Solanum lycopersicum: one gene and its partner. The protein of the gene in region 1 binds, or shares a complex with, the protein of each later gene. Links are inferred from orthologs where the notes say so. Each region holds a gene or a part of one and is shown on either strand. Other genes may lie near its edges.

Region 1 (4,568 bases):
TCAAATTTGAAATACAATGCCCAGAAATCACCAATATCTGGTGCAAGGGTCACTGCCCTATTGAACCAATTTCTTGCTTTATCTACTTTCCTCTCCTGCCAAAAGAGCTTAGCTACAGCAGCAATAACATGAGGATCATGATCACACTTCTTTAAAGCGTCAGAGCTCTTGGTTTTTCTTTGAGGTCGAGGCGCCATTTCAATTGAAGCAGCCCAAAGAATGCCACTGTTGGGGCACTCCTGCAATGCTTTAGCCATCATAACATCAGCTTCCCTTTTGTAGCCATGCCTAGCTTCAGCCCGCACAGCTGCAAGCCATAACTCAGGGTTTTGAGGATTCCTCTTCCTGGCCATAGTAAGAACTGCTCGAGCTTTGCTTAGCCCATTCATTTTCTCCTCTAGAGAGGCAAGGGATAGCCAAAGGGGTATACAATTGGGGCAATTCTTAATGCCAGATTCAAATGCATCCTTCGCCTTGTTAGAATTACCAAGTCTTTCTTCCAACTGTCCCAGCATCAACCAAAGTTTGAAAAATGAGGGGAAGCGCCTCAATGCTTCATCCAGTAATCTCCTCTCCTCATCCACATTTCCAAGTTCTCTCTCCACAATGACTGACTTCATCCAAACCCGCTCCAAGCCTCCCCTTTCACGTGCCTTAGCAAGAAGCTTCCTTGCCCTCTCTGTCTCACAGTTCTCAAACTCGAGCTTGAAAGCAGCAAGCCATATCTCCTCGGAATCAGGAATTGCAGCAAATGCTTCCTCCAGAATTGCTCGAGCAGCAGGAACATCACCAGCAAGCCACTTCTCTTTGGCACCCATCAACCATAGAACCTCAGCCTTTGGAATGTAGGTAACTGCTTTTCGAAGCACTGCATCAAGTGATTCCCTCGTGCCATGACTTTTCTCGAGCTGTGCAGCTTTAAGCCAGATGCTTTTCTTAGTTCTAAATACAGTAAGAGCATGTGCATAAATGTATTTCGCTGTTTCAATAGAACCCCTTTTCTTGCACTCCTCAGCATCAGCAACCCAGGTCCTCTTCCTATCTTCTTCCTCAACACCAACCCCAACAGTGTTGTTTATTATAGCTTGGCAAGTCCCAAGAGAACCAGCTCTCTCACATCCTTCAGCCTCCTTCATCCAAGCCTCCCTGTCAATCTCCAAACCTTCTCTCTGCAAAGCCCTTATTGCCCTTTCAATAATTTTCCCAACTGAAGCAGTATTCCCATCAGCCTCTTCAAGCCTAGCTGCAGTGATCCAGATGGCAGGCTCTTTAGGCAGCTTTTCTCTAGCCTTGTTAAGTACTTTCTTAGCATTTTCATAAGTCTCCAACTTGGCAAGAGCAAGCCACAGCTCCACATGCAATGGACAGCATTCCACAGCCCTCTGTAGCAAAAGTCTAGCATCTTCTTCATTGGCCAGCTCCACAACAGCTTTCCACAACCTCACTGAATCAGGGATATGCTCTAGACCTTTCCTCAACACACGGCTCTTGTTTGCTGTATCATCCTCCAACTTTGAAGCCTGCATCCACAACTTGACTGAATTGGGATTTGCTTTAACACCTTGAGCAATCACTGCCTTAGCCTCAAGGGGGCTCGCCAAACGGCATGCCTCCAACCAAACATCCTCATTCTTAGGACACTCTTCACACCCTTTCTTTATCAACTGTCTTGCTACCTGCATCTTCCCAGCAACCTCCTCCAGTCTAGCAGCTGCTATCCAACCAGGAGGATGCTTTGGATTGGTCTGAGTAACCGACTTAAGCAACAATCTAGCCTTCTTTATATCGGAAATCTCAGCATCACTAGTAATTTTCATACTCTTCAAATCAGTCAAGTATCCCTTAGGATCCACGACGGTTTGCCCAGTAACAGAATCCAAAATCCTATCCAACCTCACTGACAACACAGTTCCTCTCCCTTCACCCACAGCAGTCAAATCTGCAACTGGCGTCTGTGAAGAGGGCGTCTCCATGCCACCAACCATCCTGCTCCTCGGATCCAATGCAGTTACGTGCTCTTTTTCCTGCCTAGCCTTCTCCAAAAGAGTATCAGGTACAGGCACAAAACTCTCAAACCTCTTCTTCTTGTTTCGTAACGAATAATCCCCTATTTCAGGTATACTATCCCACTCATCACTTGACAATGTATACAATTTCCTCTTCAAATCAGCAAACTGTTCAGTAATCTTCGGATTCGAAGCTCTATACTTTTCAATTTCTTGCTTTAACCTAGCTTCTCTCCTATCTTTCCTCCTAGAATCCATCCTCTGATCAATAGATTCCCAAATCGCATCAGCTTCTTTATCATCTTCATCATACTCAGCAGACGCAAACAACCCCACATCATTTCCTTCAAATTCATCAAATTTCTGATTCTCATCATACCCTTTCTCCTCCGCATCCTCCTCTTCGTCTTCCTCTCCAGCACCCTTTCCACGTCCACGTCCAACTCCAGTCGCCGGTGCACCCCCAACAGCTGACCGATCAGGGAGGTCAGGAGCAGCACGAGCCGGACCAATATCAGAACGGGTCGTGAAACCGGTAGCACCACGACCCAACCCAGCAACATAATTCGGAGGAGGTCTCGTGTTAAGAAATTCAAGCCGGGCTTTCGGTGCCCCGGGTGCTTGCATACCTCCGAAAAGAGGAACGTGTAGAGTTAGAGTGGAATTAGGGGAAATCCCTAGATCGGATAACAGTGCTTCCACATCGAGGAGACGCCGGCAGGATGAGTAGAGTCGTTGTTGAGTGATTGGAATATGGAACTTTTGATGGATTGCTAGGGTTAGGGTTTGAAGAGAAGTTACAAAAGGATTAATTTCTAGGGTTAGGGTTTTGTGATTCGGAAGATTGATGAACACCATGACTGTTCGTTGTTGAGCAAATCGTTGACAGCTGAATAAACACAACAATTTCACCTTTTTCTGGATCAGGCAAATCGGTACGAATTCATTTCTGTAGTGTACTAAAATATTTAGGCGTTACACAATTTTATTTTTTTTGTTTAGATATTTGAGTCTTAATTTAATTATGGTAAAAAAAAATTAAATATATTTTATTTGAGTTCAATTTATATAATTAAGAAAGAAATTTTTTGCATATAGTCATTTAAATATATCTTAAATCTATATGTTATATGAATGAGAGTGACGAGAGAGATTGGAAGAGAAAGGAGAGAGGCGAGCGAGATTGAAAGAGAAAGGAGAGAGGCGAGCGAGATTGGAAGAGAAAAGAGAGAGGCGAGCGAGAGAGCACAGAGAGTGGGAGAGGGGTGAATTATATATGTATATCGATTAGATAATGTATATATGTAACTGGTATACATATGTATTTGTATATTTTGCGAGCGAAATTTGGCAAGGAAGAAGAGAGGCAAGCGAGAGAGGACAATAATTTTTAAAATTCGTAACTTGTTTGCATAATTCATGTGTTTTTATACAATTGAGTAATACAAAGTCTGAAACAATACAAATCTGATAAAAACTCACAATAACGAATTGATACATATATATATACATATGAATTTTACACAAATTATATTACACAAGTTACATTTTATAATTATATTATATAAAGTCCGAAAAACTACATGTTTTAAAATTTTTAAAAAGTGATAAAAAAGAAAAAAACTGAATGCATATGGTGATAAAACTGGAAAATCAAAGAAAATCATCGCCATATACAAATACAAATCAAACAAATAATTGTTAATATACAAATTTGGCTAATTATATAAACTCGAAATCAACTGTCACGACCCAAAAATGGACGTGATGGCACTCGTCTTATCCCACCAAGACAAGTAAGCCTAAAATTCAACTATTACAATAAAAATGTGAAAAATTTACTATCAACTTACATTATACCCCAAAACCTGGTTGTCACGTGTACAAGCCTCTAAAGTATTACAATTGATTCAAAAGCAACGCTAATCTCAAATGAACTTGTTTCTAGAATAAAACAAGATCATAACTAAGGAGAAAGAAAGTACGCTGAGGCGACAAACAGCTACCTCTCAAATCTCCAAGAAACCTCAGACAAGGAGAAGAGAAATATCACAAAGTCCGGGCTAGTAACCTAAAAAAAAAAATTGTAGAAACAAGGGGTGAACACCAAACCACACGGTACTCAGCAAGTAAACCTCTAAACACAGGCTAAGGGGATGAAATACGGGTACTCCTACCACCCCCAACCGAACCTCCACAACTACAACCTGCATTAAAATCAACCCAACGTAACAGCTCACAATTTACATAGCACGTAGCTCAATAACAACAGTTAGACAAGTTAAATATCCTCAACAACAACACTTTAACAAATTACATATCCGCAATAACAAGCTCAATATTGATCAATCACAAGTTCCGCAGAAAGGCAATCAGAAGATCAGCAAAACACGATATCAAATTCACTAATGATAAGTATATGCAATGAAATGGAATGCAATGTCAAGTATAATGATGCATGTCTGACCTAGTGATACACACCCGATGTCTCTCAGTCGGGGACCCATGGGGGACATATCTGTCCATGCATCTGTCGCGGCGCACGACACGACCCTCGATATA
Region 2 (4,430 bases), on another chromosome or scaffold:
AAATGCGTTGCATCATCAAATCCACCTGGGGCTTTCACACAAACATCCCAAAAGATCTTCTTGTGATCAGCAACAACCTGAAGCAATACGGATGGGAACCCATATCGGCTATAGTACATAGACGAGTTTACGGTTTCCGACGGAAGATGCTGCAACCTCACGGCCGTTCCATCAATAGCTCCACATATATTGGGGAGTGAAGTCAGTTCTTGAAACCCCTGAGTGGTCTCCACAAGACGCCGTCGACTCACCGGAATCTTGATAAACTCCGGGTAAAGCTTAGTAGCCAAGAGGCGGGTGACCATGTTAGTAATTTTCGAGATCAGGTAAGGTTCAAGACCATAACGGGTAGCTAGGTTTTTAGCAGAATAGCCGTGGAAGAGTCTAGAAAGTACCATAGCAACGGCGTAATCAGAAGGTAGAGAGAGTTGAGACTGGGTAATGTAGGGTTTCAGCTTATCAACAACTGTGGTGAAAACGGGATACGATAGTCCGTAAAGGGAACGCCACTGAGCGTCACGGAGAGGAGCTTCCATAGCCCAAATATGTTCAGTGGAGAGGGCACGAAAAGCAGAGACGGAGAATTCGGCGGCTGCCGGCGATGGTGAAGAGGGGTTGTTGTTAGGTGAAGAAGTTGAAGTTTTAGGTTTTTTCTTGTGTGGGTGAGTAGCGAGATAGGAGAGAACGGATGCGATGGTGAAGAAGAGGAGAGGTGCGGCGGAGGTGGAGGTGAGGAGGGAAGTAGGGGAGGTGGGTGAAGCGACGGAGGAAGAGTAGGATGATGTGGAATCGGAGAGAAGAGAGGTGGTGGGGTCAAGGTGGTTGTGGAGGTGAAGAAGATTTGTTAGCATCAGCAGAAAAGATTGATCCATTGTTAACAGAGAAGGAGATTGAAGGTCCACTTTGCCGGAGAAGACCGACAGGGTTTTGCAGCCACCGGCGGCAATGTCAATCAAGCCAATTCATATTTGACGACGAGTGGGTGGGAGTGGGGGCGGGGGTGGAAGAACTTACAGCAGAAGAGCAAATAAGTCCACGTAGTTTCGCAAATGTTGCAAACAAGCCCATACTTGTTCGTTTTGATAAACCGAATTTTTCTTTTTTACTTATTATATTTTTGATTAATTAATTAACAAAGATTAATTAATCATTTTCGTATAAATTTACTATGACATATCAATTTAAAAATAAATATAATTAAGAATTATATTTTTTTATTTAAAGTTTATTCGATGAGCATAAAATATTTCCAGAAAAATAAAAATAATGACGAAGATTATAATAGCTGCGGGTTATTTTGGGTTCCAAAAAGAATTTATTTAGATTGTGAAGGTCGATTAAATTTTATATCTAAAGATTCTATGTTTTATATAACACTGAATCTCCTTTTTCTTCAGCACTAACTAAACAAACAAATATCTCAAAGCGGATCGGGTGGGCCCGAATCCGAGTTCTTTTTTATTTATTTTTTGTTCCTCAATTTGGTTCTACTTCTTTGATTCAAAATTAGGGTTTAGAAGAAAAGGCCGTTGATTTTGAATAGGAAACAGATTTGAGCTTGAGAATCGCCGTCTTCTCCTTTCATTCAATCCATTCGTGTATCTGTTGCAGCCATGACTGAGGTATCGCTCTGCTAATCTTCCATTTTTTTGGCTAGCAACTTCAAAAAATGACTTTTCCCCCCCTTTATTTCTACTTGGGAATTCCTGCTAATTCTAACTAGACTAGATGTTAGGAATGGGTTATTTGTGGTTACTTTTATGTACTCCTGATTGATGATCAACTGTTTCAATTTTTGATCACTTGTGAGATGGGCTCAATTTGGTAAAATGATTCAAATTTGTGAGTTGGTAATCTTTAGTTGAGCGACAGATCAAATAATGTGAAACCCTCTTTCAAAGAACATAGACCACTGTTGAATTGATGTAGAGTTTATGATTTCAATTTGAAGTTCTATCACATGATGATTATCTTTCTCTGGGGTTGCTTATCGTGCTTCCTTCTTCATGCTTATTTCATTGTACATTTGCTAAGTGTAATGTGTTTATGTATCTGTCTTCATGTCTCATATCATCTATATTGTCTAGATTTCCATTTCACGGGTTCTTTGAGTTGTGCTGGATAAGTATGATTGGTGATAGAGTAGGATTTCGGATTAATTTGCAGGGTCATGATCTTTCAACTTTCTTATATTGTAGAAATCAAATGCAATATTCATATTTTTTTGTGGATGTGTGGTGGTGGAGGGATTTTTAAAAATTAGCTGTTAGTGTAGTTTCTGGTATTCAGATTTAGCTATGAACATTTGGAAGTTAAATACCTACAACAATTTCATTCCATCCATTACAAAGTCTTTTGATTCTTCAATCATCTTTTAGTTGGATTTGCTTTTGTTTTTGATTTAGTGCTGCTCTACCTTTTTATTACTGTAATAGAATTTCCAGCCTTCTGTCATTGTATTTTGCATATTTCTTGTTTCCTCAACCTGTTACTTTTCTGTATACAGATTCTTCGTCCTTTCCCTCCGATTTCTGATTACAGAACCCAAGATAATTATACTGATGTTTACTTTCTTGTGATGAACTTACAATTTTATAAATATGCCTGTTTCATGTTTTTCTCATTGTACAGTTTTGGGTTAGCCAAGGAAATAAATGGTGTGATTTCTGCAAAATCTTCATATCGAACAATCCTACGAGCATTAGGAACCATGAACTTGGTACGCGCCACAAGGAAAGTGTGGGCAATAGGCTTAACACAATGCGACAAGAGAAAGCTACAAAAGATAAAGAGTTAAAAGAAGCAGCCCGTGCTCTGGAGCAAATTGAAGCGGTAAGTTCTATTGTATTGGTATTTATGTTCATATATAAGTTCACACATTTATGACGAGTTACTTCAATTCTCTGATGACAACCGATAGTATCTGTGGCTTAATATTATGATGTTAGTATTTACCATCCTAAAGAAATTAAAACGGTTATGAAGGGTTTGTAATATATGTGTGTAAATCTGTTGATGTTTCTGTTTGTAATTACATTTAAGTTCTAAAATACTTACCTTACTAAAAGATTATCTGTTTTGAAAAATTATTAAGTCAAATTTCTCCCAAGTACCATTACTGCAATTCCTCCTCCATCAGGTGTGATATGCTGAGCAGCTTTGGAGATTAGTGTAATTTCATTTACTAGAGAAAATGTCTTTGCTGGCTATTCTTCTTTAATTGTCTAATTTGCAGGTTATATAGCTGCTCAAAATATGCTGTTGTACCAACTTATTTTATCCTAACTTCCTAAGATATCTCAGAGTGCAACACTTAACATGATCTTATTACATAGGTTCTCTTAAACTTCCACGAATAGAATTATTAATTTTTTTTTTTTTTTTTACATAATTTCATCCATCGTCTTTTTGACTTGTTTTATAGTTTAAAGAAGAAATGGATTAAATGATGGTGACTGTGAATGAACAAAAATGTTATTGCTTAATTATGTCTTTTTTTTATTGACCAGAAAGCTCAACGCAGCTATGATAAGGACATGGCTCGAGTAAAAGAAGCCAGAAGTACCAATATACAGGCCCTGGCTACTCATGATAATGGTCAAGCGACTACCAAGGGATCTGCTGTATCAGAAGGTGTTCAATTTCTTTGCTGTCCTGTGACATTATACCTTTTACTATTTGGTTATAATTGTGTGGACTCTGATTAGAAACATTGTCTTTCAATTTGTTTTAAATAGAGTTCTTTTTCCGAACAAAAGGAGTTGGTTATAAACTAGAGATATCTCATGAGTGCTTATAGTTTGTATTCATTTGTCAATTTTGAGATAAAAACTTTTACCAAGTTAAATTGAATATGAGTTAAACTATCATTTGACAATATCTCAGTTCTCCCACTTAATTATCTGGATTGCAGATATTTTAGGTTATACAAGTCTTTTAACTTTCATATGCAAAGAAAACGATTTCTTCCATTTCGTTTATCGTTTTATCTTCTTGTTATTACTGCTTTCTTTTCATCTCTTCTTGGCCCAAGCTCCATCGGAAACCTCCCTACCCTCACAAGGTAGGGTAAGGTCTGAGTACACTCTACTCTCCCTAGGCCCCACCTGTGGGATTATACTAGGGATGTTGTTGTTTGTTGTTGTTGTGTACAAAGAAATAATTTCTGGCATTGGTTATTTAATTCTTGTCGTTTGGTTTTTGGTTTTGCATCTACTGCTTGTTCTTTGCAATTCCTTCGTGACTAACTTGGTTAAAGAAATATCGCAATTTGTGGTGTCTAGAGGATACCTTGATTAATAGGCAAAGTTAACTAATCCTCTTGTTTTATGGGAACCACTCTATCAGGTCATTAATTCATAATATGAACAAAGCAATGAAGCATCATGCCTTTCTTCCATTTTTGTTAATGCTACTGTTCAGTTTCCCAG

Evidence for each region.
Region 2: protein STABILIZED1 (region 1) and zinc finger protein ZOP1 share a complex: the UniProt entries of both Arabidopsis thaliana proteins name them as parts of the pre-mRNA splicing complex. The link is inferred for Solanum lycopersicum from reciprocal best matches to the Arabidopsis thaliana genes EMB2770 and AT1G49590.

Annotation. Positions count from the first base shown.
Region 1 is NC_090806.1:65,043,952-65,048,519, reverse strand, and holds the start of protein STABILIZED1, read right to left. Parts: upstream 3,098-4,568; 5' UTR 2,865-3,097; coding exon 1-2,864. UniProt on the Arabidopsis thaliana protein: Pre-mRNA splicing factor required for splicing and for the turnover of unstable transcripts. May be a U5 snRNP-associated protein involved in the formation of U4/U6-U5 tri-snRNP. Involved in responses to abiotic stresses.
Region 2 is NC_090800.1:91,825,183-91,829,612, forward strand, and holds the start of zinc finger protein ZOP1, read left to right. Parts: upstream 1-1,326; 5' UTR 1,327-1,613; coding exon 1,614-1,622; intron 1,623-2,631; coding exon 2,632-2,832; intron 2,833-3,509; coding exon 3,510-3,633; intron 3,634-4,430. Other genes in the region: protein ANTAGONIST OF LIKE HETEROCHROMATIN PROTEIN 1, read right to left, coding at 1-872. UniProt on the Arabidopsis thaliana protein: Nucleic acid-binding protein that promotes Pol IV-dependent small interfering RNA (siRNA) accumulation, DNA methylation and transcriptional silencing.